Alligator mississippiensis: one gene and its partner. The protein of the gene in region 1 interacts with the protein of each later gene in a pairwise test. Links are inferred from orthologs where the notes say so. Each region holds a gene or a part of one and is shown on either strand. Other genes may lie near its edges.

Region 1 (15,678 bases):
AGAGGCTCTGGGGTGCCTCTGAGGCCCCCTCTATAGGTAAAACCTCGCCTCCATCCTGTTCCAAAGCCACATCCCTCACCAAGGCAGGAACAGCAGCCATTCTGTCTCCACTGTCATCCACAACCTCTGTGGGCAAGCCTGATGTCCCTCTGCTTCCACAGCAGTGCCCGAGTCCTAACAGCTGCTGTCCATGCACATCCCTCTGCCTGACTGGGACTGTGGCCTCCCTGCCAGGGCCATGAGCTGCTGTCTCCTGCACCCCGTCATAACCCGGGTCCCCACGGCAGCTGCTGTCCCACCCACAGCTGAGCTGCGGAGAAAACGCTCACCTGGAATCTTCGCAGAGGGCCAGCGCTCGAGGGACAGGCACGCCGGACTCCGCCAGCGCCCTCAGCACCCTGCCGGGACAAGCAGCGGTCAGTGCAGAAGGGCTGAGTCCAGAGGGAGCCCTCCCATGTTCCCCCATCCAGGTGCGTACACCATCTTCTCACCTGTACTCTCTCTCCACAGCATGCGCGGATGGGAGCAGCTTGCCTGGGGGCTTCTTCCTCAGCACTAAGCGGCGGTCCCCGTACTCCACGTAGTACGTCGGGTTCGACTGGCCATGGCTAAACTGCCGGATGAGCAGAGAACCTGCAAATTCCAAAGCAGAGGCCTTGTGGAAAGCAAAGAACAGGAGCCTAAAATGGCCAGAGCCGAGGCTGAGCATCGCTGACTTGAACCAAAGGCCTGCTGAGGACCAGGATGCTCCGGCTGCAGTCTGGAGGGGGGAGGCGCACTCAGTCAGACTTAGCAAAGCTAACGGGTTGGGGGCTGTGTCCCAGGCAGAGCTTGCTGCTGCCTCTTGGGTCTGTATCTCTGTGCCTGGGTTACTGCAGTGAGCTCTCTCGCGCAAGGGGCTGTACGCTCGGCCCAGACCTGCAGGGCACTGACTTACACAGGTAGCCAGAGGGCCGCCTGGAGTCCTGCTGAAGTCAAGGCAGGGCGTCTGGGAGCCTGGGACTGCTCTGTGTTCTGCAGGGGCTTTTCTGCTTGATCCCTCTGCATGGCTGTGCCTCCCCTAGGCCCCAAGCCTGTGCCCTGTGCCACAGGAACCTCTCTGCCTATTGCCAAAGGGGCAAAGGGAGACAGCTCCAGCAGCAGCCCAGGCCAGCTCCCTGGTGGAGGTCTGCAGCTGCTGGTGAACTTTGAACCTTTCGTTACTGGCCTGGCTTCCCTCCCATCTTCCACTTGCGCTCCAGTGATTAACTAGCAGCCCCGATTACTCCGATTCAGTAAGCTGCTGTGAGTGCTGTCAGCAAGAGTTCTTCACCAGCTTAAAGTGCAGTCAGCGTGAAAAGGGAGAGGGTGAAAACAGCCCCTCCTGACTTAGTTCCCTGTGAGTTCTTGACCAGTGCTGCTGGCTTTAAAGACAAAAAGCAGGGGTTTTGTTGCATCTTATTCCTACTTTGCCAACGTGGGCAAGAGAAATTCATAGACAGGCCTGCCAACTAAAACCCCACTGCAAAACCCTGGTGGTGACAGATGATACAGGAACTAATTTATATGTATACAATCCAGTTAGTCTATAAGGTGCACATCTACCCAGCCTTCTGCCTGATGGCAGACTAACATGGCTACCTATGTCTCTCTGATATCTGGAGCCAGGAGACTCCATCATGGCTCTGATCGGTGAGAAAACTCATGTTTTTATGTGAAAACCGAGCACATCTGATCTGTGGTTTTTCTGAGTCACTTTTTGGAACAGAGCAGAAACGTAATGGACTCTCATTTAGGTAACACTGGTGTCTTTGTTTGGCCAAAGCCTCTGACCCGTGAGGTTATAGCATCTAAGTCAACGATCCCCTGTCCTTACATTAAGGCTCAGGGGTGATCTGATGGCCACCTATAAGTTCATCAGGGGTGACCACCAGTATCTGGGGGAACGTTTGTTCACCAGAGCGCCCCAAGGGATGACAACTAGGTCAAACAGTCATAAACTACTGCAAGACCGTTTCAGGCTGGACATATGGAAGAATTTCTTTACTGTCCAAGCCCCCAAGGTCTGGAACAGCCTGCCACCGGAGGTGGTTCAAGCGCCTTCACTGAACACCTTCAAGATGAAACTGGATGCTTATCTTGCAGGGATCCTACGACCCCAGCTGACTTCCTGTCCTTTGGGCAGGGGGCTGGACTCGATGATCTTCCGAGGTCCCTTCCAGCCCTAATGTCTATGAAATCTATGAATTAAACTGTAGTGAGAGTCTGGAAATCAGGGGCAGATGAAAGAAGCAGAATAGGCACTGGTTTTGGAATAGTTACAAGGCACAAGGACTTCCTGAAGGTTTTAAAAACTGGTTGGCTTTTTTTAAATCCAAACTAATCCTGAGCTTTTAAAAGTGTCTGGTTTGGTTCAGGTGCCAGGGATAATGGGCAGTGGGGAAAACAAGCATTTGGGCCTTTTCTATGAACTGGTTCTCCAAGCCAACTATCAAAGAGAGACCAGCTGTCAGCAGAGACTCAGCGTTTGAGGTTCTTAAAGCCCAGTGCCAAAGGAAACATTGTCGTGATTTGTTTTGACATTGAAATGAAAGAGGCATTTTTTTTAAAGCATATCCCTGCAACGTTCACCTTCCACATCTCACACAATCCAGCCAGGGCTTGAAGACATGGAAGTGAAATGGGCTGGAAACAACAGCAAAGTTTCCCGGTCTGTTTACGATGCTGCAGCAGAGTGAAGTAGCCGGTTAAACAACCTGCCTGAATCATAAAAGGGAAATGATAGACGCTGAATTCTCTCTCAGAATAGTCCACATTGTGGTTAGCAGCATAGCTACAGCAAGTGGTCATATTTAAATGACAGTGGATCTGGCACTGTTGCTTTAAAACCTGCCTTAATCTAAGGCTTTCTAGATGACAAGGCACTTTCATTCTGGTCCCAAAAGGCAGTCCCAGAGCTGCGTGGCCATGGCAGCGACTGGAATCCCCTGGCCAAGCAGTGAGCGCCTGCCAGCAGCATCAATCACTGGTTCTTACCCATTAACAAGGGTTGAGCAAAGAAAACCCCACTCTAATAAATGCCATTTAGAGGCCTTGTACCCAGAGGCTTCTGGCCAGGCCGCACACCCCTCTGCACTCCAGCTAATCATGGTGCTGGCAATTAGAATGAGGCTAATTCCAACGTCTGGAATTAGAATGAGGCAGAATCACACATGAGATCTCAGAAAGCATTACCGAGAACGCTTCAAACAGACCAGCCTTTTGAAAAGAGTATGAAAAGGTGCTCAAGTCATGAGAGTGCTTTGTTACATCCCAGTAGTCAGTGTTAGGATTGTTACACACCCGTTAGTCTTGTGCAGGAAAGAGACAACAAATCTTTAGGGCTGTAGGGCAGGAGAGTTGTGATACCTGTTGTGTGGCTGCCTAGGACATTTTCCAGGTACTTCTGCAGAGGCACTTGTGGGATTTCCATGGTTGGCCTCACAGAGCGAGTGAATGGAACAGCCCCCCGCAAAGGGAAACCCAGGAAGTTTTCTAACTCTTTGAGAGCCACTTCTGGATCATCGACCTGATATTGGGGCAAGAGGGAGGGTTAGGTTGTAAATGGGTAAAAAACTTCCAACTGTTTGGTCCATATGGGTCATTTGGGACGACCACGCGCTGAAGGCAAAACTAAGGCTACTTTAGTCTCCTTTGAGCACCTGTTCTTTCCATGTGTCTTCTCTGCAGCCCTTTAAGCCCTTCCCCTGGAAGACAAAAAGGCTTTGCACTGCAAATACAGGCTGGGACATGTGTGTGAATGTCCCCAGAGAGAGGGCCAGAGGGAAGCAGAACTCGGTCCTTCCAGGGGTCCCATCCTCCGTCTCCACCTCCCTTCTCCTCAGCAAAACCCTCTTTCACCCTGTAAGCCAATCAGCCCCCACGCAGCTCGCTTCCAAAGTGAGGTCAGTCTCCCAGGCCTCTGTTGGGTAAATTTTGTTCTTTCCCAGGCGAGGAGCTGAGACGCAGAGAAGATAACTAACATGCACAAGGCTGTGCAGAGTTGGAGGCAGAGCGGGGAATGGAGCCTGAAAACTCAGACCCTGACAGTGAACCCTTGTTCAGCCTTGCAGCGACAGCGCTCACTTGCCAAACAAAACTATGGGCATGGGCAGCGAATGAAATACCGCAAGTCTGGCTAGACTCGGGTAACCATACGCAGCCCATTCAAGTCAAACCCCCAGGTGGCTGTGCCAGTGCTGCTCTGTACCTTCAGTGTGTTCATGCCAAGCTGGGCTGCCGCTTTCAAGTTCTGGCCAATATCATCCAGGAAGATGGATTCATTTGGCTGGATGCCCAAACGCTCCAAGCACAACGTGTAGATACGAGGGTCTGGCTTGCATATCCCTTCCCGGCAGGACTCGACTATCTACAACAAAAACCAACCATGTTGGAAGCGGTTCCACAAAAAGCCACCACAATTCCTGTTCACGAACGTCAGGGAAGTTGTAAGAACAGAGGGCACGAGTAAGTGTGAGACTCCTGTGTAGCACAATGAACAAGGGGCAGGGTGCTGGCAGGGCTGTGCTCGCTGTCATCCTTACAGGGTGGGAAGGAACTGACCCAGGCAGCTGAATGAGTGTTTTGCTGCCTCTTGCCTCAGCTGGGACAGTGCCAGATAGCACAGGTTGAGCAGCACCAACCAGTTCTTGCTGGAGAGCCATCAAGGAATATGGCTGTGAATAGACACGGTGGATGGTCCTCTTTCCCCCAGAGTCAGTGCTAAACCAGCAGCTCATGTACTGCTGTGAGAGGAAATACAAAGTACAGTCCTGACTGTGATACTTATCAGCCATCCCAGCGGTAGAGACCTTAGGCCCAGGGTTTCTGACCCCCTTCTAATCTAGAGAAGAACATTTGTCTCCATCAATTCCCACTCTGCTTAGAATTGAATGCAATATTAGCTTATTGCTTAGAGACCACATTGATAGGCACTGCAGAAAGAGAGCTAAGGCATACATTCTCCTTCACTTCCTGTCCTATATTAGTATTGCCTCATGTTGCCGGAAGCTGTTATACAGCAACCGCATTTCACAGGTGGTGACATTTCATTGCAGGGTGTGTTCTGTGCACAGGATATGGAGTCATTTCTGTGCTCTGAAACTGTGTGGAAGAAAAGGCATTACAGAAACAGAATACAGCATTAGAATAGGGTATTTTAAGAGGCCAGTTTCGCTATGAAAACTGAACAGAAAATAATCCCTATGTTAACAAGGTGACTTTTCTTCACACACGCTTTTTTTCCCCCTGCCTCATTAAGGCTATAAAACAAGGCCAAACTTTTAGAGGTCTGCTGGCGCACACAGCAAAAGAGGACTGTGTTCAAGGTTATGTCATTCAGAAGGGGCTGAACTGAAAGTACCTAAACTTTCCTCTTAATGTATTAGGAGTAGATCTGAAAGAATAGGGCCACATCTAGAGTAAGCCGAATAGTTCATCTAACCGGAGAGCACTCATGATTGCCCCGAGTAAACGTGCGTGAACGAGGTATAACTTGTGGTTAAAACAAACGTGAGGAAACAGTGAGTGCAAAGGTCCCTGCCGAGCCCGGAATGTGCTGAAAGCTCAGACAGGTTTAAAATGACAGGCCAGCAAACACCTGATTATTGACTTAGGTCTAAAAAGACAAGCCACAAGGCAGCTAAAATGATCGTGAAGCCAAGTGGTTAACTGAGAGCCAACAACAAGGAAGGCTCCTGTCTGAAAATTGAGGAGCAAATGTTCTAGCAGCCAGCGCGTGGTGGAGGAAAGATCACTGTCTTCGTACACGACAGCCATAGTTCAGAAGCATCCAATAGCTCCGACCTCACAAAGCTGCCCACGACCCGGCACGGTGCCTGCATTAGCTTACCCCGCAAAGGAGAGCACATTCATGTAGGACTGATCTATCCCTCTTCATCCACGCCAGGGCCAGGCCTTCTACCTGCCTAGACCGAATCTTGGATTCTGGGACACACAGCGGCAACCTCCAGTGGGGAAAAAACCCGATATGCATATGCAAAAGTCCAGCGTGCTGACTCCCCACAGCCCACTCAGCTCCTGCACTAAGGGCAGAGGCTTGCACTGTAGCCACAATGGTCCTTTCTCTCCCCTGGGAAGATGCCAGCTGGCCAGCTATGGGACACCACACCAGGCACAGCCTGTATGTCACGTGCAATGTGCTTTCAGACCGATCGAGGTGGAGAGTGCTTCAAAAGGGTAAAAGTGCTAATTCATAGATGTTAGGGTCGGAAGGGACCTCAATAGATCATCGAGTCCGACCCCCTGCATCAGCAGGAAAGAGTGCTGGGTCTAGATGACCCCAGCTAGATGCATATCCAACCTCCTCTTGAAGACCCCCAGGGTAAGGGAGAGCACCACCTCCCTCGGGAGCCCGTTCCAGACCTTGGCCACTCGAACTGTGAAGAAGTTCTTCCTAATGTCCAGTCTAAATCTGCTCTCTGCTAGCTTATAAAGCTTTTCATCTTCTGCGCCTCTTGCACGGTACATAAGCAGAAGCAGGTCTACACAGTACGCCGGCGCTTTGCGACGACCCACTGAAAACGTAGGCGCCCGCTACTCCCTAAAACCCGCTCGGTGGGTCTGTTACAAGAGCCGTGCCTCACACGTCGCACTAGCGCGCGAGGCGTTGCTATCACCACTGTCGTTAGCTCGGCACCTGCCTCTCCAGTATCGCGCCGGGTGCCTTTCATACGTCCGAGCACATTTGGGCTTACCACATCAAACTGCTTTCGGTCGAGGGGCAAGAAGCTCGCGCCGCTGCGCAGGTAGAAGTTGTTGCTCAGAACCGCTGTCTTCAGGCCCTCTGCCCGGATGCGCCGTATCGCTTCGGTCATCGCGGGGAGCTGCTGTGACATCTCTTTGCTGGTGAGGTCGGAGAGAAAGGAGTCCACCGGAACGGGGGAGCCTGTCTGAGGAGCGAGAAACACCCCCCAAACGCTCATCAGCCTCTTTACAGAGAAAATAACACTTGCCTCTCCCTGTAACAGAGCTCGCCGCCTACGCTGCTCGCGCTACGGCGCCCGGGAGCTCCTGCGGCGACTAGCTCTACAGGGGGAGGTGCCGGCGTCCGGGGACGACGCTAGGACGGGAAACAGCTCGCAGCTCCTTTATTTCTCGACCCGCCCGGTGACACGAGGGGTGCCGACGCCGGGAGCAGCGTGAAGCCTGCGGCGCGGCGGGCGCGTGCTACGGCGTCTCTAGGGTTTACGGAGGCCGGAGAGAGGCGTTAAGAGGCGGGAAGCGGGGCGGCGGGCTTACGATGTCGAAGCACTGGCGCGCGAAGGCTCGCACGAACTCGTCCGCCGTCAGCTCCCCCCGCATGTACTTCATCCAGGGCCGGTCGTGCCCGCCGCAGGCCACAGCGCGCCGCACGGTGCCGGGCGGGACGCCGTTCCGCACCTCCCAGTCTGCGCGGCGAGGAGGTCGTGGTTAGCCGTCCCCGTCCAGCCCTGCTGGAGACCGGCCGCCCCGGGTGGGGGGGGGGAATGACGGGGGCCGGGCACTCACCTCGGGCGCACGCGTACGGGGAGGGCAGCAGCACGCCGCCCATGTCGAAGACCACGGCGCGGCAGGGGCGGGCGGCGCGGCGCGACCCCCAGACCTGCAGCAGCCAGCGCAGGCCCATGCTGCGGCCTGCCCGTCACCAAGGCAACCCCGTGACCTTTGCCCCTGCTGGCGACTCTCGCGAGAGCACACCACCTCTTCACGTGACCAGGCACGTTCCCGCCCCCACTACATACGCACGCACACGCCCCGCCCCGCGCGTGCGCGACCTCGCGGGGTCAGGGGTCAGAGGTCTCCGAGGCGGAAGCGGCTCATAATCGCCGCCGCTGTGCCTCGGCCGGTGCCGTTCGGGCCCGGCGTCCCGGGGCCTTATGAGCGTGCCGCTCGTGGTGATCCGGCTGGAGCTGGCCGAGCACTCGGCGCCGCCCGCCGCCTTCGCCTACAGCGCGGCCGGTGCGTGCGGCCCTGCGCCGCGGCCTCCTCCCTCAGGGGCCGGCGGGGGGAGGGGAGTGGGGGGCATTGGGGGGGAGGGGGCATTGTCCCCTCAGGGGCCGGCGGGGGGGGAGTGGGGGGTTGTTGGTGAGGGAGGGAGCATTGTCCCCTCAAGGGTCTCCCCTGTGCTGGGTCCTGCTCAGGCAGGGCAGCTCTAGGTGGTTTCTGTGCGTCCCTTGTTGCTGCCTCTGCGCTCCCAGCCTCGTCCCCGTGTCGAAGCAGACCCACCCCGTGCCCCTGGGTGAGCGGGGGGCAGGGGGTGGGAGCCCCCTCAGGACTCGCCCCCCACAAACCCGGAGCCGCTCTGCGGAGGAGCTGGTAGAAGCAGCCGGCCCACCCCTGCCGTCACAGCGGGTCCCGTGCCCGCCTCTGCCCAAATGACCCGCGAGAGCCGAAGCGGGAGGGATGGACGAGGCCAGGCCCGTTCCCTTGAGGGGGGGCATGTTTCGCGTGTGTGAGATATCGACTCCCCAGTGCGTCCTGCCCGGCCCGCGCGAAGATCTCCGCTTTCGGTTAGCGCTGCCGGATTCACGCAGGACGCGACGCGGGCGTGTAAAGCGCCCGATGGCGACGGGGGAGTCGGTCGGGGCGTAGGGTTGAGTCTGTCTAGACGAGAGCGAGGGGTCGCAACGGGAGGCGAGCAGGCAGCCGGCGTGGAAGGAAGGCGAGATGTTGTTTTTCACGCAGCGGGTCATTAACGGGTGGGACGTGTTGCCGGCAGAGGCGTTGGAAGCTGAGAGTCTAGCCAGATTCGCGAAGGGATGGGACACGCTCTTGGAGGAAAGCGATGTCTGTTGTGGCTGTTGAGCTTGGGGAGCGCGGGGCGCGGCCCCTCAATCGGAGCTTCCCAGACCTGAAATGCTGGAGGCTGTGAGTGGGAGAAGAAGTAGGGGGGGAAAAAAACCTCTGTTCAGACCCAGTTCGTCACTCCTGTGTAGCATCCGTTGCTGCCAGCGTGTGGCGTGGGGGACAGGCAAGATGGATCTAGGGTCTGACCCAGGAAATGGCAGTCCCGATGTTCTTGTGCTCATCTAATGCGTCTCTTTTTTGGTCTATGACAGAGTAGATCTTCCCCTGACTGACAGATGTCATGGCTGGTTACCGCACTCAAACCACCGCGTGCCAGGTCGCAAGGGTTACGTGTGTGGCAGCAAAACAAACTTTTTTTTTCCCCCCCTCCTCTGGTTGATGGTTTTACTCTGCGGAAGAAGGAATAAAAGCAGCTTAAAGAATTATTGTAATGACCTGGTAGAGACCTAATGGCTGTTATTAGGGAAGCCTGCTCTGCCTTCCTTCCACTGGCGTTGCTTGTTTTTTGCTCCGGATCACATTGTTTAAGTAGCTAATTGTTTTCCTCCTTAGCCACTCAAATGTCTGATGAGGAAATCAAAGAAAAGTCGCTTGCTTCTGCTTCAGCCTGTTTAGAAGGAAAGGCGCTGGTGGAAAAAGCAGCTATTATTCACCAGCATATTGGCCGCAGAGAGATGACGGATATGATCATTGAGACGATACAGCTTGACCCAGGTAACCGTTCTAAAACTTGAAAAAGGTGTTCCAGTAATCGGTCTGTAATGCCTGTAAGGTTTTTACTAGTCTAACATATGGGTATTCTCTTAAAAGTATTAAATTTGCTTGCAAGTTTCTTTGGGTAGATGTGATAATCATCTTTATCAGACCTACTGAGTAGTTGGGGGAAAAGTTCTTAGCAAGCTTTCAGGCACAGTCACCCTTCATCAGGCAAAGGGAGTCTCTGCTGGCCATTTAAATTGGCTTGACTTTCTAAGCTGCTGAGCTCCTGGTAAATGCAAATCCTGCCTTTTAAGGACATGAGAAGTGATGCCAGTACAGTTTATAGACCCAAAATCTGATCTAAAACTTCTCTTAAATAAGGATGGCTTGTTGATAATGATTAAGAGCATTAATGTTGCGAGTCACAAATTGCAACATTGAGCGTGCCCTGGTTTGATTGTGTGTTGTTACCTCTTGTAACTATCTTCTTTGAATAGCAGGCGGATATTGAAACTCTCAGTTGTGCCACTGAGATACTTTTTTTTTTTTTTTTTTTTTAACCCTGCCCTTAAAATTGCACAGCATAGAAAGCTAACTGAAAACGAAGCAATGCAAAACTAAGCACAGGGATTATCCTAACTATATTGATTGCTTTTATGTTAAGTGCAATAAAAAAATTAACTTGTAGTTGTTGGATAACAAAGTAGCATACTGCAAAACTCAGCCTGGCACCCTTCAGAACTTGTCTGACTAGGTTTGCAGCGCCCGTGACCCAGCTAAAAGGTCTCTCAAACTGGTGCCTAAATATGCCTCAGTTCTGTTGATTATTCAGTGCGAGGAGACCACTGTTTAGAAGCACATAATTTATTCTGTGCTTTACGTGTCATAATTTGACTTTTTGAATAACTAAATCCTCTCTTGTACATAAGATTGCACTTAAAATGCAGTTGAAGTTTCTGATGTGTGGTTCAGTAATCTGAACACTTTTGATTTGTAAAAGATGAGACAAAAGCTGCAATGGAAGGAAGAAAATCTGCAGAAGCTTCATCCATTGATGACACAAGTAAACATGACAGTCAGAGTAAAGAATGTGAGGCTGCTCCAGACTCGCCATCAAAACAACTTCCTGACCAGATTTCCTTCTTCAGTGGGAACCCATCAGTTGAAATAGCTCATGGCATTATGCACCTGTACAAAACAAAGTAAGAATGTATTTGACTCATTATAGATCTAGTGGGAATTGCACCATGGACTCTTGCCATCCAGAAGGGTGAGTCAGGAACACTAGGGCTGTTGCTACAGGACTGATGGAGCAATGACGCACAGGAAGCCTGGGGTATTGGCACCATAGACAGTGTCTGGTGTAGTCTGACTTGCGTAGCTGCTTTGATGGTAGTAACTTAAGCCCAACCCTTCCAGCTGTGGGTGAGGATGTCTCGGAGAGCAAGTGTTCATGTAAGCAGTGGGAGTAAAAACACCAGTTGGAAGATGGCCCTAGAAAGATCAGGTGTGAGGGGATCCCACAGACAAAGATCTCCTTGTTCATGTTCCCCTGGAACGTTAAAATGAACGCAAAGGTCTGCACTTCCCAAGTTTATTGTTGCAGTGATGGCATAATCGTATCTCCTCCCTTAGGGAGCTGAATGAGAACCATCAATTTCAGATGTTCTTGAACGTGGCCAGGACACAATGGCTATTACATCAGTAATCAATATTGCTTGTTTACTCTAGAAATATTTTGAGTATTTGTGGTTTGCAAGGCCCAGGTACTCTTACAAAAATACAGCTATCAGAATATGTACTGTGGGTCAATATCTGTTGGTTGCACACGTGAGCCCTTTCTTTAAAGATGACTAAGTACCTTTTGGGTGTCTTCAGACTTGTTACAACCACCTTTTAACCCTTTAACTGTGTACAAATAGGCAAAGAGCTTTACAATCACAGGTACATTTAAATTGTGAAGCATGAAATTGCTGTATGGTCTCCTGTGTAAGCTGGTCTTAAGATGTCAGTCTTGACTTCCTCAATTTTAAAAATCTACTTTATTGTCTTCTTAGTAAGATGACCTCTTTGAAAGAAGATGTGAGGCGCAGTGCAATGCTCTGTATTCTCACGGTGCCTGCTACCATGACCAGTCATGACCTGATGAAGTTTGTAGCCCCGTTTTATGAAGTCATTGAGCATATGAAAATCATCCGGGATTCCACTCCGAACCAGTACATGGTATTGATAAAGTTCAGCTCACAGGTAAAGCCCAGAAGTGTGGTGCCAGGTTTCTACTGTTTGGGAAATGGGCTGCTGTGTGAACACTAATTTCAGGCGCTGTCCAGTTTTAGTGGCTTGCTGTTTCCTGAGGTCATGGGCCTTTGCTATGAGAGGCTTCCTGTGATGTAATGTTGGGGGGGTTTTTGTAAGTGATACTGATGCTGGCCCTCCATTAGCCTTCATCATAGACCTACAACTTGTACAGTTGCAATGCTGTTATGCACGTCCTGGCTTACTACTTGCTTTATCATAGCCAGCAGAGTATTAAGATCTAGACAAATCCTGCCTGACTTCAATACCTCACCCATTAAAAACCCTGTGGAAGAGAATGCAATAAGCAAATACAGATGCTCACTAAGATATGAATGCATTGTGCAGTCTGTCTTAGCAGACCAAGAAATAGCCTGATCTCTGTGACAGCATTAGTTCCTATGGAAACTGAGGATAGCAAGGAGCTATTAGACCATCTAGCCTATACTTCTGTTGCGGTCACAGGGACTGACCATTCATGCGTACGTTGCTCCCTCCCTCCCAGAATTGTGAGAAGGGGGTGGGAGGTAAGATTGAAGTGAACTAGATGACCAGATACTTGTGGGTCTCTTCCTCAGCTGTTACAAGCTTAACACTCCTGTGTTGTGCACAACGTAAATCCCACAAGCCTATTTAAAGTAAGCCCCCTTCATAGAAACTCACTTGGGGGCAGTGTCTGATGCCAACCATCTTTGTACTAATTCAACAGAGTTTTTGCCCAGTCCACTGATTCAAGACAACTTCCCACTTGTCTTTTAAAACTGGCGGACTCCCTGCTTCAGCAGGCCCTCACCAGCCATCTCTGCATGCAGCAGAAGCACGTTTGAGTTGCTCTACATTTTATTTCTGTGTAAGTGTGTCAGTAAGGTGTGTGGTGAAACTGGAACAGCTTCATGTTTCATCATTCAAGAATTGGGAGACAGGAATGAGAATGCCTTGACTTCCAGCTCGCTTTCCTCCTGACGGTTGGATTGCTGACTGTAATAAGCCAGCACTTGAGATGTTGTGGCTCATCCATAATAACTCAGATGGGTTATTTTGTGTTCAGTCAGCAGTGCTTCTTTTCAAGTAATGCTCTGGTATGAAGTGCTTCAGTACACATCTGCATAGAGTGAGCATTTGAGCTTTTTCTGCAGGTAAATGATATACTGTACAAATCTTGATCCCTTTGAATAGGGCCCTCTGATGGCAGTGTCTTTCTTCCAGGCTTTTGCAAAGAAACAGCAGTTGCTTTCAGTTAGTGCCAAAATTGTTGACTGCAGACAAAGCTGATATTAAAGAAAGAAATTGGCTAGTGCTGTTTGAGCAGTATGTTTGCAAGTGTCCAGTGCTGAGAGCTCTTCAGTTCTTCTGCCAGTTTAAGTTGAAAACTGCTGAATCCAATGCAGAGATGGAATAGTGATTAGCATACATCAAGAGATTTACCTATGATATATGCTTGTTTGGGCACTTGGAGCGGTGGGAGAGAGGATATTTAATTCTCATTCCTTCTTGCTTGGTAATGTAAGCTGCAGGTAGTATGAGTCTTGTTCCTCTGGTCTGTTTTTAGGCAGATGCAGACAGCTTCTATATGGCATGCAACAGCCGACAGTTCAACTCCATAGAAGAAGACGTTTGCCAGCTGGTGTACGTGGAGAGGGCTGAAGTCTTCAAATCAGAAGATGTAAGTTTCCTTTCCAGACTGTATTACAAGCTGTTTAATAGGATTAGCTGGAGCTGGACAGGGCAGGCTTGTCTGCAGGGGCTGCAGACCTTTAACTGCCTCAAGTCTGACTGCATCTTGCCACTGCAGCACTGCATTTAGGGGAGCAACCCTGCCTTCTGAAGTTCTGGGACCTTATACATCCAATCTCCTGGTCTCCCTCTCTGGAACAGTTATGTTCTGCTGAAATCTGAATAGGGCTTAGTGCGGCTAAATATCCTTTACGTTTGGCCTGCTGGGAGGAAGATGTATGTTTAGTCCCAGAGGCATGTGTTTCCTCACACCTTATTAGCTAGTTAATTCTCAGTATTTCAAGCTGATCATTGCAACACCCCTCTAAGAGGTTGATGTGAATCCTGTTTAAAACATGGAGGAAGCAAACTGCAATTAAATGACTGGTCAGAGGGAGTGCATCAGAGCTGGGAATGGAACTTGTGGGTGTTGTCAGAGTCATGTCCTTGACATAGCTGGTCTTGGAGGTGTAGGAAGAACTCATGAGCACTGTCCCAGACGTGTACTCTAATTGGTGCCAGACTAAGTGTCAAAATGGCCACAAAGGGTAGTCACTGCTACCTCTGGTAGAATTTTTAGGCTGCCTATAATTTTACTAGGATTCATAGCGGTTCATTTAGGCTTTTGTGTTCAGAGTGCAGTTTTTAGCTGTACAACTTGCTTGGAGGAGGTCCAGCAATAAGCCTGTGTCCCTTTTTCTTGTGCAGGGAGCCAGCCTTCCTGTAATGGATCTGACCGAGCTCCCAAAGTGCACAGTGTGCCTGGAGAGAATGGATGAGTCTGTCAATGGGATTCTGACCACCTTGTGTAACCACAGCTTCCACAGCCAGTGTCTGCAGCGGTGGGAGGACACCACGTAAGAGATGTTGCTTTGCTTTTCTGTAATTCAAAGTACCGGCTTTGCAGCTGTGCTCCTCTTCTCTGTACTGATGGGGCTGGCTTTGGTCAGCATCTGCTCTGCTGATTTTTTTTTTGATGTCTGAGTTTCTGCAGACATGGTGCCATTGGCAGCTGTAGGGCCTGGAAAATGTCCAGGATGAGGTCTCTGCTCTAAGGAGACTGCAGTCTAATTTAGATATGCAAATATACCCAATACATCATGAGCAAAAAGCTAATCATCTAGTTAATAAGTATTTCCCACTTCCTACATGCTCAAATTCAAGATCAATGAAAATTTAAGCAAAATAATTACTCAAACAGGCTTGGAATACCCTGTAAGGAGCAAAAATGTGCCTTATAGAGTCTAGAGGTTCTATTTGGTCGTGAATCTGCATAGTCTAGTGTTTAGATTGAACAATACAAATTCATTTTGCCTTCAGACGATGAGTGGCATTCACACACGAGAAGATTAAAATGACTCTTAAACAGAGGTCTTGGATTTTAAAATCTCCGGATGATTTTAAATCAATTCATCCTGATGAACTGCAGGATATAAATGTTATTTCACATGACAAATGTGGTTTGCTGGTACATTTTGTCCTTAAAGCCCATGCGTTTTTTGTTTGTTTTTGTTTTTAATTATTTAACCTTAATTCTTATTCCATGAGATCCCATTAGGTAGAGCAGTGAGGTACATGTCAATCCTTTATAGAATCCCTGCAGAGAACAGAGTCCTGTTATCTGTCTCACACACTTTACATTCCTACTGGTAGCTGTTTGTTACATGTCAGGCAGTTAGAGACTTCTACAAGAAGCTCGGTGCCAAACTGCAGATCGTTTTCTTCAGCTTTTCTTTCTTTAGAGTACCAACCTTAGTTTGATCTTTCATCATGTATCACGAAACCTCTTTTGCATGAGGTTTCTCAGCTGTGCTAGTGGGTTTCCCCAGCAGAATCTGTTTTAAATTCAGGAAGGCTTTTACTGAGTCTTTGGCCCCATAAATCAAAGCCAACCTAAACATATGTAAAAATTTGTTCATTGACTAATGCATCTTGTTCCTAGTTCACTCTGACTAAACACTGCCACAGTATCAAAGTCTAAAATGTATGTCTGGCACAAAGCTGTCATCATCAGACTTCAGTCACTTGCTTGACACACTTTTTTTTCTGAGTGTGTAATTGCATTAGATTGGAGGGTATTTAGTTGGTGCATGTTGGGAACTTTCTTTCCCAGGAGCCTGTTGCAGACAGCAAACTAATGATTAG
Region 2 (15,879 bases), on another chromosome or scaffold:
CCAAGAAGGGGCAGGCTCATCCCTTACCATCGTCTTAGCTCATCAGAGGGAAGCGTGGGGACACAGGTGCATGGATCTCATTTCAGAGGAGGAACTGTTTCTGAAGGGCAGCGGCTGGTGCAGTCTGACTTAGGTGTGGAAGAGCCAAAAACAATTAGCAGAACTGCTCCAACTCCACTCCTTTCTCCAGAGTTAAAGATGAAGAGGTAACAATGTACTAGCTGCTGCCCTTTTTGAAATGCCACCCTCTGTTTTCCTTCTGAAAGTGTGCTGTGTGTCCATGCTCTAAGAGTGCAGTTGCATTTACCTCTGGGTCATTTAGCTAGGGTTTTCCTCCAGAGCAAGACAGTGGTGGTGTCTGAAGCAGATGCACAGCCGACCCTCCAGAGATATGTGTAGTAGAGGCAGTTGCAGAGCTTCGCCTCTAGCAGGCGGAGGACCATAGCCTGTTGGCGTGGAGGAAATGCCCTGCTGGGGTGAAGCTGACTGGTTATATGGGAGTAGTTGCCCCTTACTTCCTGGGAGAGTTTGGCCATGGGGCTAGTCTAGATGACTTTGTAAAGTCCCTTCTGGCCCCACTTCCCTACAATCTTATAGACAGACATGTGTCTAGGATGGTTTAGTCAGGGACAATCCTGCCTTGAGCAGGGGGCTGGACTAGATGACCTTGTGAGATCCCTTCCAGCCAGACTTTCTTATAATCCTGTGATTTAAGCCAGTGTGGCAGGGCTGTGCACCATGCGTCTGCTCCACTTTTGCTCTGAATTAAGTGTGTCATGGCCACAACCCAAGAGGGGTGAAGACACCACTGATTTAAAGCCAGTGGCTCAGCTCTGTGGTCCCGTTCCTGCTTATGCCGGGGTGATCTGGAAACCTTCCCTTTGTTATCCTGTCCCAGGAGCAGAGGCCCAGCATCACTCGGAGCAGAAGCTTCATAGCACACACCACAGTGGGGCAGAACAAGGCCTGAGGCATGTGGCTGATCCTGGAGAAACATCCTGGGCTCTGCATGCTCCTTCAGCACTTTAAAACCAACCCTATGGATGCTCCTGCCTCAGTGACTGCACTGGGTGCCTGCAGTCCTGCTTTTCTTTGCCTTTCCTAGTTGCCACAGTACATGGCTGTAGACGGCTTGGCTCCTACGAAGTCCTGCTGGCCTTGACTTAGGAGGAAGCAATGTAGGGAGACAGCTGTCCCTCATCCACTGCACCCATGTGAGGCTGCTTAGCAGCTGTAAACTGCTGTCTCATTAGAGGGCCAAGCTCATTAACGATCAAACCAGGAAGGCAAGGTGAATGCTTGCATCTGTCACCGGAGGTTAACAGGAAGGTTTGTGCGGACCTGCTTGGACTGGGCTTCTATGGGATTTCTGACCCCCGTGGGCCTTGGCTGGGTCTGTACCTGTATGAGAAGCCAGAAACAATGGTAGCCTGGTGGCACTTGTTGCTGAATAGTGCTGAGCCCAGCACAGTGTTTGTGGGAGCTGTGCTGGGGAAAAAGGCATCGTTCAGATAGAGATAGAGGTCACGATACTTGACCAGAGCAGTGTTTGGAGCAGTTCTTGTGTCGGGGGAGCTTGAGTCTGACTCTTGCTGTCATCTGCTTTCTACTCCGCTGTGCATTTCCAGCCGAATCCAGCCTTCCCCGTCCCCTCGGATGTGACTGAGACAGGAGCTGAGCACCCTTCCTGTGGAAACCCTGTGTGCATTTGTAAAATGCCTTGGGGCAAAGACTTAAACTTCCCATCCTCAGCTGCTGCTCCTGCCGCCTACCAGAAACACACTGCCCCGAAGCCACAAGCCCCACGGGGCTGCCATAAATGACCCTCCTTTTCCTTATCTTGGATATTTTTCCTTATCTTAGATATTTGGATATCTGACCACCTCTTCCTTGGCACCTATGTGGAGAACACCGGCTCCTGGGCTTTCTGCTGGGCCTCGTGACCCTGCTTCCCCATAGGGCAAGAGGTCCTGGGCTGGATTCTCCCTCACTTGAGGCAGTGCTTGGGCAGCTATCTGCAACTGCAGCTGACCCCAACCCTCCATGTGCTTGGGTTATCAACAGGCAGCATTTCCCCTGGGGGTGGAGGCGAGCCTGCTTTCCAGCCAGCTCTGCCACGAGGGCTCTGAGACTTCTGTACATCACAAGGGTCAAGGGAGGCACCTGGCAGCTTCAGCTCAGGGTCTCATTCTCCCAGGGACTGGAGGCTGGGGGGGGGGTGGGTGTGACAACATGGAGAGCCCTATATGGGTTGTAGCTGCAGCCGTGGAGGGGAGATGTTTGGCTGGGGCCTTGACTGCCTGGAGTCACTGACTGCGGAGAGGCTGACCAGCAAGCTATTCAAGCTGCCTCTTGGTGGGTACAGCCTGGAAATGCACCTGCCTCTTCCCTTCCCTGCCCCTGCTGCAGTGACCAGCCCTCTTAGGCCAAGGCCCCTCGGTCATTGGCATTGCAGCCAAACACTGGGTCTTTGGGGTATGGTTCTCTTTCCCTTTCCCATCACAGTCCTTCATGTGCGTCTCTGCTTGTCCCCAGGTGTCCCGGATAGCCGCCTACGCCTTCAGCGCACTCTCACAGATCCACGTGGATGCAAAAGAGGAGCTCGTGGTGCAGTTCGGGATCCCCTGAGCTGGCGCCCGTGCCTGCCCGCACCCCCTCGCTCTTTCTGTTGCCCTCTTCCTCTCTCCCACGGGCGCCTCGCTGCCACAGAACTTGTACAGATCCCCCCACTTCCTACTAATTGCCCAGGAGACCGGCACCATCGCCCAGGCCCCGCTGCTGTAGGAGGCCAGACCTGGTCCCAGGCTTTCCTTTTCTCTCATGTATGTGTGTGTGGGGGGGCAGGCCAGCATAGCGGTGGGGAGGGGGGATATTGTATTTCATAGGAAGCCTGTATTGTTGAGCACAACGGGAGGCATTTCTCCAGCCCCCAGGTGCCCTTGTTTCAAAGATTGGGGACAAGACAGACTCCTGGCTCTTGGCAGGTGGGGGTGGGCTTCAGTATCCCTCCCAGTTGCCAACTGCTGGTTCAGGGGATGCTGCACTTGAGACAATGCCCCCCAGGCCCTCGTATGTTCCTGGAGGGCTGGGCTGGTTGGTGTGTGTGTGTGTGTGACAAAGGCATGGAGCGGGCCCCACTTGTGGCGCTCCGCGCAGAGCTCTGTCTGCCTGACGCCCGCGGCTCCACACGCCCGGGCCTTTCAGTTGGATTTTTTTTGTTGTTGTTTTTGTTTTTTAATTTTTTTTTTGGCACCGTAGATAAAGCCCTTTCATTCAGCCCCAGGTCCCTGCTGTGTTCTTTCCCTGCTGCGAGGCAGGAGCTCCCTCAGCGCTCGAGGGATGGAGGGATGCAGTGAGGACTTGGGAACGTGGTCCCTGCTTTGGCTGCTGTTGGAGGTGGTCACTTGGTCTGATCTCCTTGGACTTCTGCAGCCTGTGTTAGCTGGCTGGCCCTTTTCTGTGCCAACTCATTTCCTGGTCCCTGGATAAGCTTGGTGCCAATGCTGCAGCTGCCAGGGGGATTGCAATCATCGATACCCAGGTGCTGTTGACAGGAGGCCTGTGTTGGTTTCTAGAGCAGGATACCTGGGAAAGACTAGATTTGTGGTGCTGGACCAGGTATGGATCATCTCAGCATGGTGGGTCTCACTCTGCTTTTGGCCTGGAGCGCTGGCTTCTCTGTTTCATCCCCTGAGCCTCTGCTGTTGCCATTGGGCAGTGGCACCCTCAGGCCTGGGCATGAGGCAGGCAGGAGAGTGCGAGTCCCTGCCCTGTGTCAGCAGCATTGCATGCCTCTCCCCCATCACAGTTGCTTGTCCTTGTGTCCCTGTGCTGCTTCTGGCCTGCTGCCTGAGCAGAGTCTGGGCCTGTGATAGTCGGTGAATGTCTCTGTGCTTGTTTTGCCCGCTGGGAGGAGTGCCCAGCTTTTTTCAGTGCCCCCTGCCCCTTCCCCAGGCCAACATTGCAGCTCAGAGCTGGGGGAACCGGCCCTCCAAGGCAGCAAGGCAAAGACAGGGGTTTGCCCCAGTCCCTGGCTACCTTGGGCAGCTGCATCGGTGTGAGCGCAATGATCAAGCTGCATTATGAAAGCAAGGGGTCCCTGCCCTACTGCTCCCATGGGCAGAAACCCAATTCCCAGGCTCTGCTTTCCTGGCTGCCTGATCCCTATCTGTGCCACCTTCTGCTTTGCTGAAAATGTCCCCCAGCTCCGTTTCTAGAGCAGTCCTTCCACTCTGCAGTGGAGAAGCCTGGGCTATGGCTGCAGGTGCTGGGTTCTGATCCTAGACCCCCATGCGCTAAGGTGGCTGATCTCAGCTGGACATCCAGACCCAGCCATAGGTGGAAATGGCAGGACTGCTGCAGCTCCCTGCATTGGAGCAGAGCAGCCTACGTCTCCCCCAGCACATGTGGCTGGGCACTGGCAGAGCCTCATGCTCTGAAATTCTTCCAGCCCTGGCAGCCTCTGGGAGGGAAGGGGGAAACCCCCAGGTTCTTCACTGAGCAACACAGACCAGCTAGGGGCAGGTTTTAGCAGGGAAGGTAATGAACCTTAGGAGCAGCTTTTGGGGAGGGGGAGAACCTAGCAGCAGCTGCCCTTGTGAAATGAGCTCAGATTCAACCGGGAGCAAGGGTGCTGGGACAGCCTGGGGGCAGCCCCTGGGCTACTCGGGCAGGGCAGGCTGGTGTTTGTGCCTTATGGGTCATTGCCACTGGGGGCTAAGTCTGAGCCAGATGCATGTGCATTGCTGAGTGTTTAATAGGACGCTGCCACAGGGTGGCAGGAGCAGAGTACATGGGCACCAAGCACGATGCCCTTCCAGCTGAGTTCTCAGGGCAGCATCTTGCAACAGAGCAGGCAGGAGCACGCGAATCCAAGGGGCTGGGCTGGGACCCTCATGTCCCCCACTGCTCTGGGTCCTGTGTTCTCGTCCCAGCTGGCGACCTTTAGGCTCTGGTGGCAGAAGTCCCTTGCGGGGGGCAGGTGCCTTAATGTGGGTGCGGGGCCCTATCTGGAGCTCTTCCTTGACCCGATGCCCTAAGAAGCCTCTGCAGGAAGGCGCCTTCCCTCTGGGTGGGCTGGTCTCAGCCAGGCGCAGAGCTGAGTCCTGCACCCCTCTACCCCTCCCGGCTATGCTGCTGGCTCCTGTGGCCCTGGGCCAGCTGCTGGGACTCGGAGCAGCAGGAGGGCTGCTCTGTTGTGCCAGGGAGGAGTGAAACTAGCCCCAGTAGGGCCCATCACCCCGTCCCCTCGCTGCCTACGGGGTCCCATGCCCTTCTCTGTAGCACTCAGTCCTTTGTTTCTGGGGCTGCATAGGGGAGAGGCAGATCCCCAGCCTGGTAGCTTGCTCTGGTAGCTAGCTTGCTCTGCTCCCTGCAGTTGCTGCCTGGAGCAATATGTATCCCCATCACCTGGGCAGCTGCAAGGCTGGCAGGGGCAGCTCCTGCGACTTGCTGGAAGCAGGGAGCTGGGGGTGGCTTTAGCCAGAAAGGGGCTGAAATGGCAGGGAAGAGCCTTGTGGTTTACAGGCTTCTGCCAGCTACCTGCACCCCAGGGAATGACGCCTGGCACCTGCCAGCCTGGGACAGGCTGCCTAAGGGCAGGGTGGATGGAAAGGGGCCAGCGTCCTTGCTGTGGCTGGATCCTGGGGCAAGGTACTTCTGGGCTACTGGCCCTCCCCTACTCTGCACCAAGCCACGTGGGTGGGTTCTGGGCTATGGATCCTGCCTTGTGCCTCTGCCCAGCAGTCTCTGGGGCTGCTGTGCTGGGAAGGGGATCATGACTTCTGGTCATGGGCTTATGGCCAGGGCTGCTAGGAAACTCCTCGAGATGGCGAAGGGCACGTACATGAGCTTTCTGGAGGTGCGTGGTGCTGGTGGGTTGTTGCCCTCCAGGATTCGAGCTGCCTTGGAGATGGGGGTTGCCACAGTGCAAGTAGGACTCGTCTCAGGCTAAAGCAGGAGCCTGAGACACCTGGGTCCTTGCCGTTGCTACCTCTGTTCTCAAGACAGCCCCAGCTCTCTGGCACTGGCTCAGCCCAGCCCGTGGTTACTCACGCTCTGCTCCACAGCGCGGTGCGAAGGGTTTATTCCTATGTCCCATGGGGCTTTCAGGCTCTCCAGGCTGGGGAGGGGGCCATGGACCAGTTGTGGATCTGCAGCTGTGGTGCCCGGCTTGAGGCCTCCTCAGGAATGTTCTCTCTTCTTCTTGGCCGCCTTCGGCTGGGCGTTCATGCGCTTCCAGATGGCGGCGGTGGAGCGGTCCTGCTTCGTCACGGCACTGAAGTCAAAGGACTTGAGCTGGGGCAGTGTGGACAGCACGTAGCTCCTGTGGGGCATAGGGACAGGGCTGGCACCTGCAGTCACCAGCCGTGATTGCAGGTGGCCTGCAAGCCAGTGGCCCCGCTGCAGCCTGGCACTTTGCTTTGGAGGGACAGACACGGAGTCACAGGGCAGTCTGCTGGGGAACGTGGCAGAGAGCTAGTCTTTAGCAAGCTCCAGTCCAGGCCCTGCGATGCCACAAGAGAGGCCTGGATGAGCATGTCCTGTGCCCACTCCCAGCTTGGCAGGGGCACCTGGGCAGTGTTGCGACACCCACCCCCTCTGCGGGGCTGCATGCGAGGCAGGGGGAGTCTGCAGGGGTGGCCCTTGACCTCTCCCCTCCCTCTGGCTCCTGTGCCCCCATGCTCTGGGCTGGGGCAGGCAGAGCAATCCCTTGGGCTGGGCACATCCCTGGGTACCTGTAGCCCTTCTCCTCCTCGATGGGGTTGCCATGCAGCGTGAGGCTGCGCAGGTGGGGCAGGACGGCCAGCTTGTCCACCTCGCCCAGGCCCTGGATGCTGTTCGCGTGCAGCTGGAGGCAGTGCAGGTTGCGGTACGTGGTCAGGATCTGCAGAGCCCGAAGCCTGGGGGTTAAGTGGGGGCACATGGGGAGGCCCCGTGACAAAGCGCCCCCCTCCTGGCAGCCAGGAAAGTGAGGCATGGGATAGGGAAAGACCCCCTTCCTCCCCACAATGGTCCTTGACTGAGAGAAGCAAGGGGTGCGCAGCCAGTGGTGCTCAGCACTGGTCTGGCTTTGTCCCATTGACATCTCCACCCCCACCTGGTTACTCTGCGGTATCTGGCTCTACTGCTCTTCCCCCTGCCTCACTCCTGGAGGGTCTGGGATAAGTCTGCAGCAGGGGCACAGCGACCTCCAGCACACTGCACCCATTTCACAGGTGGGGAAAATGAGGCACAGAGAGCAGGTGGTCTAAACTGGGGCCGGCACCAGAATCTGCATCCCCCATGCACCCACCGGGTCGATGGTGGGCAGGTCGTTGAAGGAGAGGTCGAGCCAGGAGAGCTCCTCGGGGTTTTCCAGCAGCAGCTCCAGCGCTGGGCCCAGGTCCGTCAGCTCGTTGAGCGTGTTGTTGTTGAGGCGCACGGCCCGTGTCAGCATCCGGCCCCGCGCTGAGCATGGGATCGTCCTCGGGCTGGCCCGCGGCTCCTCTGTCTGCAGGTCTGGGGAGCGGGGAGAGACGGCTGGCTGGGAGGCTGGGCACAGCCAGGCCCCGTCTGTGCCCGAGCACCCCGGGGTGCACTCTCCACTCCCACGCCTGGCTTCCCGCAGAGCCCGGGGCATGCGGGGCAGGGCTGCTCCTAGGTTTGCAGGGAATGTGGCGTCCTTGTGGTTGAGGCGCTGAGCTGGCACCTGAAGCAATGTTCCCAGCTCTGCTACTGGTGCGCTGTGCCGCCTTGGGCAAGTCCCTTTGCCCCCCCCTCCCCTTCATCTCTGCCCCATGGAGGCCATGTGGCACCGGGCAGCCGGGTGTGCAGGGGGTGCCCCCTCGATGCTCCCGTGCCCGCCCTGCCGTGGCTTCGTGCCCTGCAACGAGGCGGCGCCAGGGGCTAAACCGCACCTTGGAGGAAGCTGATGCCTCGGAAGGAGAAGTCCAGGGGCGGTGCCCGCAGCGAGGGGCTGCAGCTGTTCCAGCGCCAGCTCCGCGTCCCGGCCATGCTGGGGAGAGACAGAGCATGAGTGGGCACGACTGCCCCGGGCTGGTGCTGCCCCCCGCGCTCCCGGAGACTCCCCCGGCTGGTTAGCAGGAGAGGGGCTAGGCCCCAGAGCGGGCCTGGGCCAGACCCAGGCTGACAGGGCCTCATTTGCTCACGCGCTGCAAGGATACACACGGGGGGTGCACGCTCACAGGGCCCTTTCCACTTGTGTTCACACTCACCGGCCCCTGGCACAGATCTGCACGCTCACTAACCCGCTTACCCTTGCGTTCACGCTCACTGGCTCCCAGCACAGGTTTGCATGCTCAGCAGCTCCCTTGCACTTGTTTTCACACTTGCGGGCACCCAGCACAGATTTGCACACTCCTCAGCTCCCTTGCGCTTGTTTTTACACCTGCACAGATTCGCACACTCAGCAGTTTGCATGCTTGTTTTCACGCTAGCTGCCCCCAGCATGGATTTGCACAATCAGCTCCCTTACACTGGTTTTCACACTAGCTGGCTCCCAACATGGCTTTGCATGAGCATCACCACCCTTGCCCTCGCTTTCACACTTGCTAGTTCCTAGTGCAAGTTTTCACACTCACCGCTCTGGTTCCCAGCACAGATTTGCACGCTCACCAGGCCATCTGTATTTGTTTTCATGCTCACAAGCCCCCCTGGCACAGATTCACACACTCATTAACCTGCTTAGACTTGTTTTCACACTTGCCATTTCTCACTGTGGATTTGCACACTCACGCATTGCTAGTTCCCTGCACCAATGTGCATGCGTATCACCCTCCCTTACACGTGTGCTCCCACTCACCACCACCCCACACAGATTTGCACGCGTGCCACCAACCCCCTTACACTTCCTTTCACACTTGCTGCCCCCTGCACGGATTTGCACGCTCGCTAACGCACTCACTCCTGCTTTTGCCCGCGCCCGGCGCGGATTTGCACACTCTCCGCTAGCCCCCAGCACAGATTTGCACATCCACTCACCATCTGCCTCGCACACCCGCTCCTCCCGCGCCCGGCTTTGCACACTCACTGGCCCCCTCGCACGCGCGTTCACACGTGCTAGCCCCCAGCCCGGGTTTGCGTTCCACCCACCCCTCCACCCCGGAGCGCATAATCGTCTCCATGGCAACCCGAACCCCGCCCAGGAGCCGCGCGGCACGCCGGGAAGCCGAGTCCTTCCTTTCCTTCCCCTCCTTCTCGCGAGACCCACGCCCGCCGCGCGCGCGCGGCCTGCTGGGAGCGGGAGTCCCGCCGCCCGCCACGTGACGTGAGCGCGAGCTGACGTCAGTGCCGGGGCAGCCAATGGGGAAGGGCGCGGGGGGGCGGGGTGTGGCGCAGCGGTTTGAATCGGGGGCGAGGTAACGGCCGTGGGGGGGAGGGGCGGTGTCTGGGGTTGTGCATTGAGGGGGGCTGTGCCCTGGGGGGGGGATGGAGGGGGGTATGTATGGGTTGGGCATTGAGATGGGGGGGTGGAGGGGGTATTTGGGGGGGGTTGTGCCCTGGGGAGGGTGGAGGAGGGGTTGGTTGTGCATTGAGGGGGGGCTCTGATGGGGGAGGGGTGGGCTGTGCCCTGGGGGGCAATTGAGGGGTGTCCTCTCCCGCTCCTGGGTCTTCATCTGCTGGTAGCTCCAGCCAGAGGCTGTGAGTTCGAGTCCCGGGTGTGAGGGTTTGCCGGGCCGCAACCGAGTCTAATTTAAACCTTCGCTGCAGGAGGTTGGCGTCTCGGTCAAGCGCCGCTTTCTCCTTTTTTTTTTTTCCCCTCTTCTGTTCTATTTTAGACCTTCACTCCCTCTTTTTTAACTACTGGCTCTTGGCGGTGGTTGCAAAAAGCGGGATTCGAACCTAGCGCGCTGAAGGGTTGGCACGACCCCTTGTTTGATTAATAGAGAGGCTTTAATAACTATACCACAAGCAAGCCGTAAAACTAAATGACAGGCGGGGAGGGCAGGAAACAACTCCTTCCCAATATTCAGTAAATGAGCTGTCACAAAAGTCCGGTATCTGTTCGGCGCGACGGTGTCTCTCGCCAGTACAGGCAAGGAAGCGGTGTCAGTCTTTGCAGCGGCACCGGCGGCGTGGGTGAGAGTGACCAGCTGGGTGCAGGTTGCAATGCTGCCCTGATTTTTTTTTTCTCTCTCACTTTTGAAGCCCATTTTGCCAGCAGCTCTGTTTCCTTCTTCAACTCTTGAATTGTATAGCTTCAAAGCATTCCTCCTGGGTAGTTGGTCGATTGAAGTCCGAACAAAGCAGGTAGGGAGGGGCCGTCGTATTACAGTTGCTAGCAGATCGGATCCTGTTTTGGGTCATCTCGTTGCGCAGCGTGTTTTCTGCAACGTTTTGATTTGTCTGGAGGTTACGCTTGGATCTAACGGGGTGGGTCTTGATTGACTGAACGTGACACCTTGGGGCATTGCCGCTGTTTGGGGTAATTGTTTGAACAGTGGGGCAGAGCCCCAAATTTTCTGAACCCGGTAATGGTTTGTGGAGACGCTTGCAAAACCCCAAACGTATTTCTCCCTGTTTTGAGAAATATGTTTTAATCAAGGGAGGAGGCGTCAACAAGGAGGGTACAGTCACAGAGGGAGATGCAGTTATTTATGAATGGTTTTACATAATAAGACATTGGGTACATTTGCAACTAGAGCAGGAGATGAGATCAATTGGGATTGCTTCATTTCGCATGGTGCCAGTCATGATCTTGCATTCTTGTGCAAGATGCACTGTTGTTGTACTTCGGTCATTTAAATTTCATGCGTAGGTCTGGCCAAGCTTTCACAGTCAGCCACGGTCAAGTCATTGTACGAAGGACCTGGAGTTTGCAAAGGGCATTTTTGCTCTGTGTCTGCATAAATGCACAAAAAGGAAGCTTTCCAGAAGTGGAAACTTGGACAAACGACTAGGGAGGAGTATAAGAACATTGCTCCGGCACACAGGGGTGAAATCAGGAAGGCCAGTTGCAACTGGAGTTGCAGCTAGCAAAGGATGTGAAGTGTCAGACGAAGGGTTTCTACGGGGATGTGAGTAACAAGAAGATCAGGGGACGTGTCTGTCTCTTACTGAATGGGGGAGACAACCTAGCGAGCGTGTCTACATGAGACATTTACTGCAGTGCTACCTAATGAGATCCGCAGTAAAACGTCAGTGTCTACATGTGTGACGCTAAACTAATTTACTCTGCCGCAACATAGTACTTGTATATACGAGCATTATCCTGCAGCGGAGTCCAGTATTCTGCCATAACACACGTGTAGACTGGGACCGGGCTGGCTGGGGCATGAGGATGCTTCAGTACAGGGGCTGCCTGCTGGCTAACTCCACGCTGGAGCATCTTCGTGTCCCAGCCATCCCCTCTGCAGCACGTTGAGCTGGTTTGCAGCAGCCCTAGGCTGGCAGGCTGACTTCCCGGGTCCCCTGCCACCTGGCGCTGCTCTGACCCGGCTCAACGTGCTGCGGTTCCAGGTGCACATGTAAACACAATGCCTGGGAGCAATAAACTCTGGTGTGATACGTGCCGGAGTTTGTATTGCGTTAATTGAACATGTAGATGTGCCCAGTGATGATGTGGAAAAGGCCAAAGTACTCAATAACTTTTCTACCTCAGTATTCACAGACAAGGTTAGCTCCCAGACTACCGGACCCGGCAGCACAGTTTGGGGAGGAGGTGAGCAGCCGACCATGGTGAAAGAGCAGGCTACGGACTATTTAGAATCGCTGGATGTGTACAAGTCCATGGGGCTGGATGCAGTGCACATGAGGGTGCTGAGGAAGTTGGCTGATGTGATTGCAGAGCTGGTGGCCGTCATCTTTGAAAACTGATGGCAATCAGGAGAGGACCTGGACAATTGGAAAAGGGCAAACGTGGTGCCCATATTTAAGAAAGGGAAGAAGGAGGGTCCAGGGAACTACAGACCAGTCAGCCTCACCTCAGTCCCTGGAAAGATCACGAAGCAGATCCTCAAGGAATCAATTTTTAAGCACTCGGAGAAGAAAGTGTTTAGGAACAGTCAGCATGGATTCACCAAGGGCAAGTCATGCCTGACTAACCTGATTGTCTCTGTGATGAGATGACTGGCTCGGTTGGTGCGGGGAGATGAGTGGATGTAGTGTATGTTGATTTTAGCAAGGCATTTGATACGGTCTCCTGCAGCATTCTCGTGGGCAAGCTAAGGAAGTACGGGCTGGATGAATGGACTGTAAGGTGGATAGAAAGCTGGCTGGATTCAGTGGTTCAGTGTCTGGTTGGCAGCTGGTATCGTGTCAGTGCTGAGGCCAGTTTTGTTCAAAGTCTTCATCAGTGACCTGGAAGATGGGATGGAGTGTGCCCTCAGCAAGTTTGCAGATGACACCACGCTGCGGGAAGCAGTAGATGCACTGGAGGGATGCTAGGATTCAGAGAGACCTCAACAAATTGGAGGATTGAACCAAAAGAAATCTCATGAGGTTCCAAACTCTCCATCCTTCAAGGCTTTTGAGACTCAGCTAGACAAAGTCTTGGCTGAGATGGTGTAGTCGGGGCCGGTCCTGTGTTGAGCAGTGAGTTGGACTAGATGTGACCTCCTGAAGTCCCTTCTAACGCTCATGCTTTTATGATTTTATGAAGTATCTGAGGGAGGTATGTTCTCTAGACTTTTCTTTCTCTTATGAGGAAGGAAGCCGTAGGTATTCAGAGCAGTCAACACATTTAACCAGGAGGTATTCTTGGTGTGCTTTTGTCCTTGCCTGTTCCTACAAGAGTGGCCCTAACCTTCTTCAGTTAGATCATAAAATCTTCCCTTTTCCCAGTCGCTGTTTAAGCACCAGTTGCAGTGTACACTGCAGGCATTTGGCTGAGATTATCCAAAATCTTCTATTTCTCCTCCCATGTGGGCTGTATTACTGAGCAGGTTTGTGCAAGATCCTTGTTTTACTTGGGCGTCTTCCAGGAAACGTCAGGCCTGTTGTAAGTTAGCCTGGAGAGAGTAAAAAAATGACTTCTAAGATGAAGCTCGATAAAGTTATGAGCAGGATTATAATGCGTTAGTCTGTGTAAGCAGGGAACTGGACTTAATAGCTCCGGAGATCCCTTGTTGCTGCAGATGAGAGACATGATTTAATGTTTCAGTGCTTCAGCTCTGAATTACTGCGTGAGTGTCAAGTGCAAACCCCAGGCCACCAGCTAGACTCTGACTGCTTCAGTTGGTATCTAATCATGCTTTTATTTCCTCCTCAGTGTCCAAGAGCTTCACATTTATCAAATAACAAAGAGGCAGGAGCTAGCTTGAGATGGGACAACTTAGCAGAGCTTAGGCATAGTATACTGGTACAGATACTAGCCCTTTGACTTGGTTGGTGGGAGAGGGGAGTCATGTACTGATTGTGATTGAGTTTGGAGCGCACCCACTACTCTTCCAGGCTTGCTGCTAACCAGTAGACACAGTCCTCGTCCCAGGAGGGGTTTTGCACCTCTTCAGGCAGAAGGCAGGGCAGGGTGGCACCTTAGAGACTAATTGGTTCAAAGAGACATAAGCTTCCATAGGCAGTGGCCTGTTTCACCTATGAAAGCTTATGCCTGTCTGAACCAGTTGCCAGTCTGCCCTGTCTTTTGTTTGTCTTCAGAGTACCTGTTCAGGTAAGCTCCAAACTCCCACTTCTGCGGTCTTGGGTTTGTCACTGAATCTCTCTGAGCTTCATTTCTTCATCTTCTTTGTCACTGCTCGGCAGATACTTCACTGCTGCAGTGCCGGGTGATAATGCAAAACCCCAGAAGAGATTACACCTCCCTCCCCCTGTCTTGTTTAGACTGTGTAAGCTCTCTGGAGCAGAGGCTCCCTTGCTCCTAGTGGTTACAGCATCCAGCCTGACAGAGCCTTGAGTTCTGTTGGGCTCTTTCATTATTTTTATGGAAGTACAGTCTTTCTTTAGCCACTGGTGTCACTGTGTCTATCAGTTCTGCTGTTTCCCAAAATAATCAGCTGGGTTCCCTTCCTAACCTCAGTCTTGCGCAGCATAGGACAGGTGGAGAGAGAGAGAGAGAGAGAGTTCTTTAAGAATGAAAAAGGTCATAGTAAAGCCATAAAACATGGCAGGGTGATTTGAGAGCTGCTTCTAGTTGGTTGTGGACTTAACCAGTCGGACTTATTCCCCCCCACCTCCTTTTTGTAATTTTTCTGTATTGTGTCGTTTTTTTGTTTGGTCCCAGCTAAGGAGACTGGACTGCCTTTGGCCTTTCAAGTATCCTGGAAGTAGGGAGCTGATCTGCTTTTATATTAGTGTCCTTTGAAACTCTTAATTGAAGTAATTCGTGCTCCTCTGCTGTAAATGCTCCAGGGTTCGATCATCATCATAGTTTATTTGCAGTTGGGCCTGGAGGTGGAGGAAGGACTTCACTACCTTCTCGAGGCCCTTCCTGCCCTGTGGGTCTGTGCTTTGGCACAGTAGGAGCCCCGTGCTCTGTCTCCCGTTCTATGCTTTTGCACTCTAGGCAGCCTGCAACCTGGGATAGCAAAGGTGAGGAGACTGCCACTTATATTCAAATATGCCTTACATTTGTAGTGGCAAGGTGTGAGCCTGCCTTTACTGCTGTGGTTGTTCTGAGATGCCCTCATGTCTAATGGGATTTGGAGGGAAGTGGGGTGTGTGGAAATGTGTCCAACGCATGCTAGTCCGAAAAGAACCTGCTGGCCAGGGTGAAGAAAACCCTGCCCCATGCTCTCCACTGTATCTTGGCCAAAGACAAAGCATTGGGCATGCGCCAGTAAGTGCTCTGTCTCCAGTGTGTTTGTTAGTGCACTGATGGCTCCTCAGAGCTCAGTCTAAAGGCAATGCAGACACCATTAAAATATCTCACTCAGAACAGTGTTAAATAGAATGAGGGTGGGAAGGGATCTTAAGAGGTCACATCCCAAGGGAGGTGGTGCTCTCCCCTACCCTGGGGGTCTTCAAGAGGAGGTTAGATAGGCATCTAGCTGGGGTCATCTAAACCCAACACTCTTTCCTGCCTATGCAGGGGGTTGGACTCGATGATCTATTGAGGTCCTTTCCGACCCTAACATCTATGAATCTAGTCCAACGCCCTGGTCAAAGCAGGACCAGTCCCAACTACATCCCAACCAAGGCGTTGTCTAGCCAGGGCTTCAAAACCTCCAAGGAAGGAGATGCCGCCACCTCTCTGGGTAATCTGTTCCAGTGCTTCACCACCCTCCTATTGAGAGAGGTTTCCCAAATATCCAACCTCAACTTCCCTTACTGCAATTTGAGCCCGTTGCTCCTTGTTCTGTCACCTGCCATTGAGAACAGTGAGACCTGTTCAGACCTGTCTGCAACAGAAGTCCCAATGTGGGGAGAGGGGAGGGAAGGAGCATTATCTTGGTACTTCACAGGTACTTAGGGTAGGGCAGTGGGTTTGTAAACCTCTAGGATCCCAGGATAAAAAACTTTGTCCTGTGATAAACTGGTTGCATTTTTATTTTTTTTATTTTTTGCTTCAGACTTGGTAGCCTTACTTCTTTTCTCTGGATTAACTTTTTGCAGACAGGGCTGAATGCTGGAGAGCATAATGCCAAGCCTCCTGGTGATGACATTGGGAAGACAACTCCCTTAAGGTATGTATGCCCAGCAAAATGAAGGTGTGGTTGAAGTATGTTGGTGTGCTGGGGTTAGCTTGATTTTTAGCTAGCACAAGTAACAAAAGGAGTGAGAACATGGGACTTAGCATGTGCTAGCAAGTAGAGCATGTCCTGAGGATGCCAGAAGGGTTGGTACCCTTGTTGGTAGCATATGCCAAAGTTCACGACGTTGTGCTTCCACTGCTGTTGTTACTCATACTAGCTAGATTATGTTAGCACATGCCACAGTCGCACCTTCCTTTCGCTGTATGGGCATATTCTGTGTTGGAGGAAA

What was found.
Region 2: the proteins of BRAP (region 1) and NUMA1 interact in a two-hybrid assay, tested with the Homo sapiens proteins (2 studies listed by BioGRID and IntAct). The link is inferred for Alligator mississippiensis from reciprocal best matches to the Homo sapiens genes BRAP and NUMA1.

Annotation. Positions count from the first base shown.
Region 1 is NC_081833.1:3,671,507-3,687,184, reverse strand, and holds the start of BRAP (BRCA1-associated protein), read left to right. Parts: upstream 1-7,789; 5' UTR 7,790-7,895; coding exon 7,896-7,977; intron 7,978-9,378; coding exon 9,379-9,540; intron 9,541-10,525; coding exon 10,526-10,727; intron 10,728-11,582; coding exon 11,583-11,772; intron 11,773-13,369; coding exon 13,370-13,483; intron 13,484-14,241; coding exon 14,242-14,390; intron 14,391-15,678. Other genes in the region: ACAD10 (acyl-CoA dehydrogenase family member 10), read right to left, coding at 330-398, 492-633, 3,388-3,547, 4,229-4,387, 6,735-6,929, 7,279-7,427, 7,528-7,645. UniProt on the Homo sapiens protein: Negatively regulates MAP kinase activation by limiting the formation of Raf/MEK complexes probably by inactivation of the KSR1 scaffold protein.
Region 2 is NC_081824.1:477,663,930-477,679,808, reverse strand, and holds the start of NUMA1 (nuclear mitotic apparatus protein 1), read left to right. Parts: upstream 1-9,340; 5' UTR 9,341-9,359; intron 9,360-13,544; exon of another isoform or gene 13,545-14,487; intron 14,488-15,495; exon of another isoform or gene 15,496-15,581; intron 15,582-15,879. Other genes in the region: ragulator complex protein LAMTOR1, read left to right, coding at 2,536-2,628; LRRC51 (leucine-rich repeat-containing protein 51), read right to left, coding at 6,184-6,325, 6,738-6,886, 7,295-7,500, 7,899-7,996, 8,983-9,125. UniProt on the Homo sapiens protein: Microtubule (MT)-binding protein that plays a role in the formation and maintenance of the spindle poles and the alignement and the segregation of chromosomes during mitotic cell division.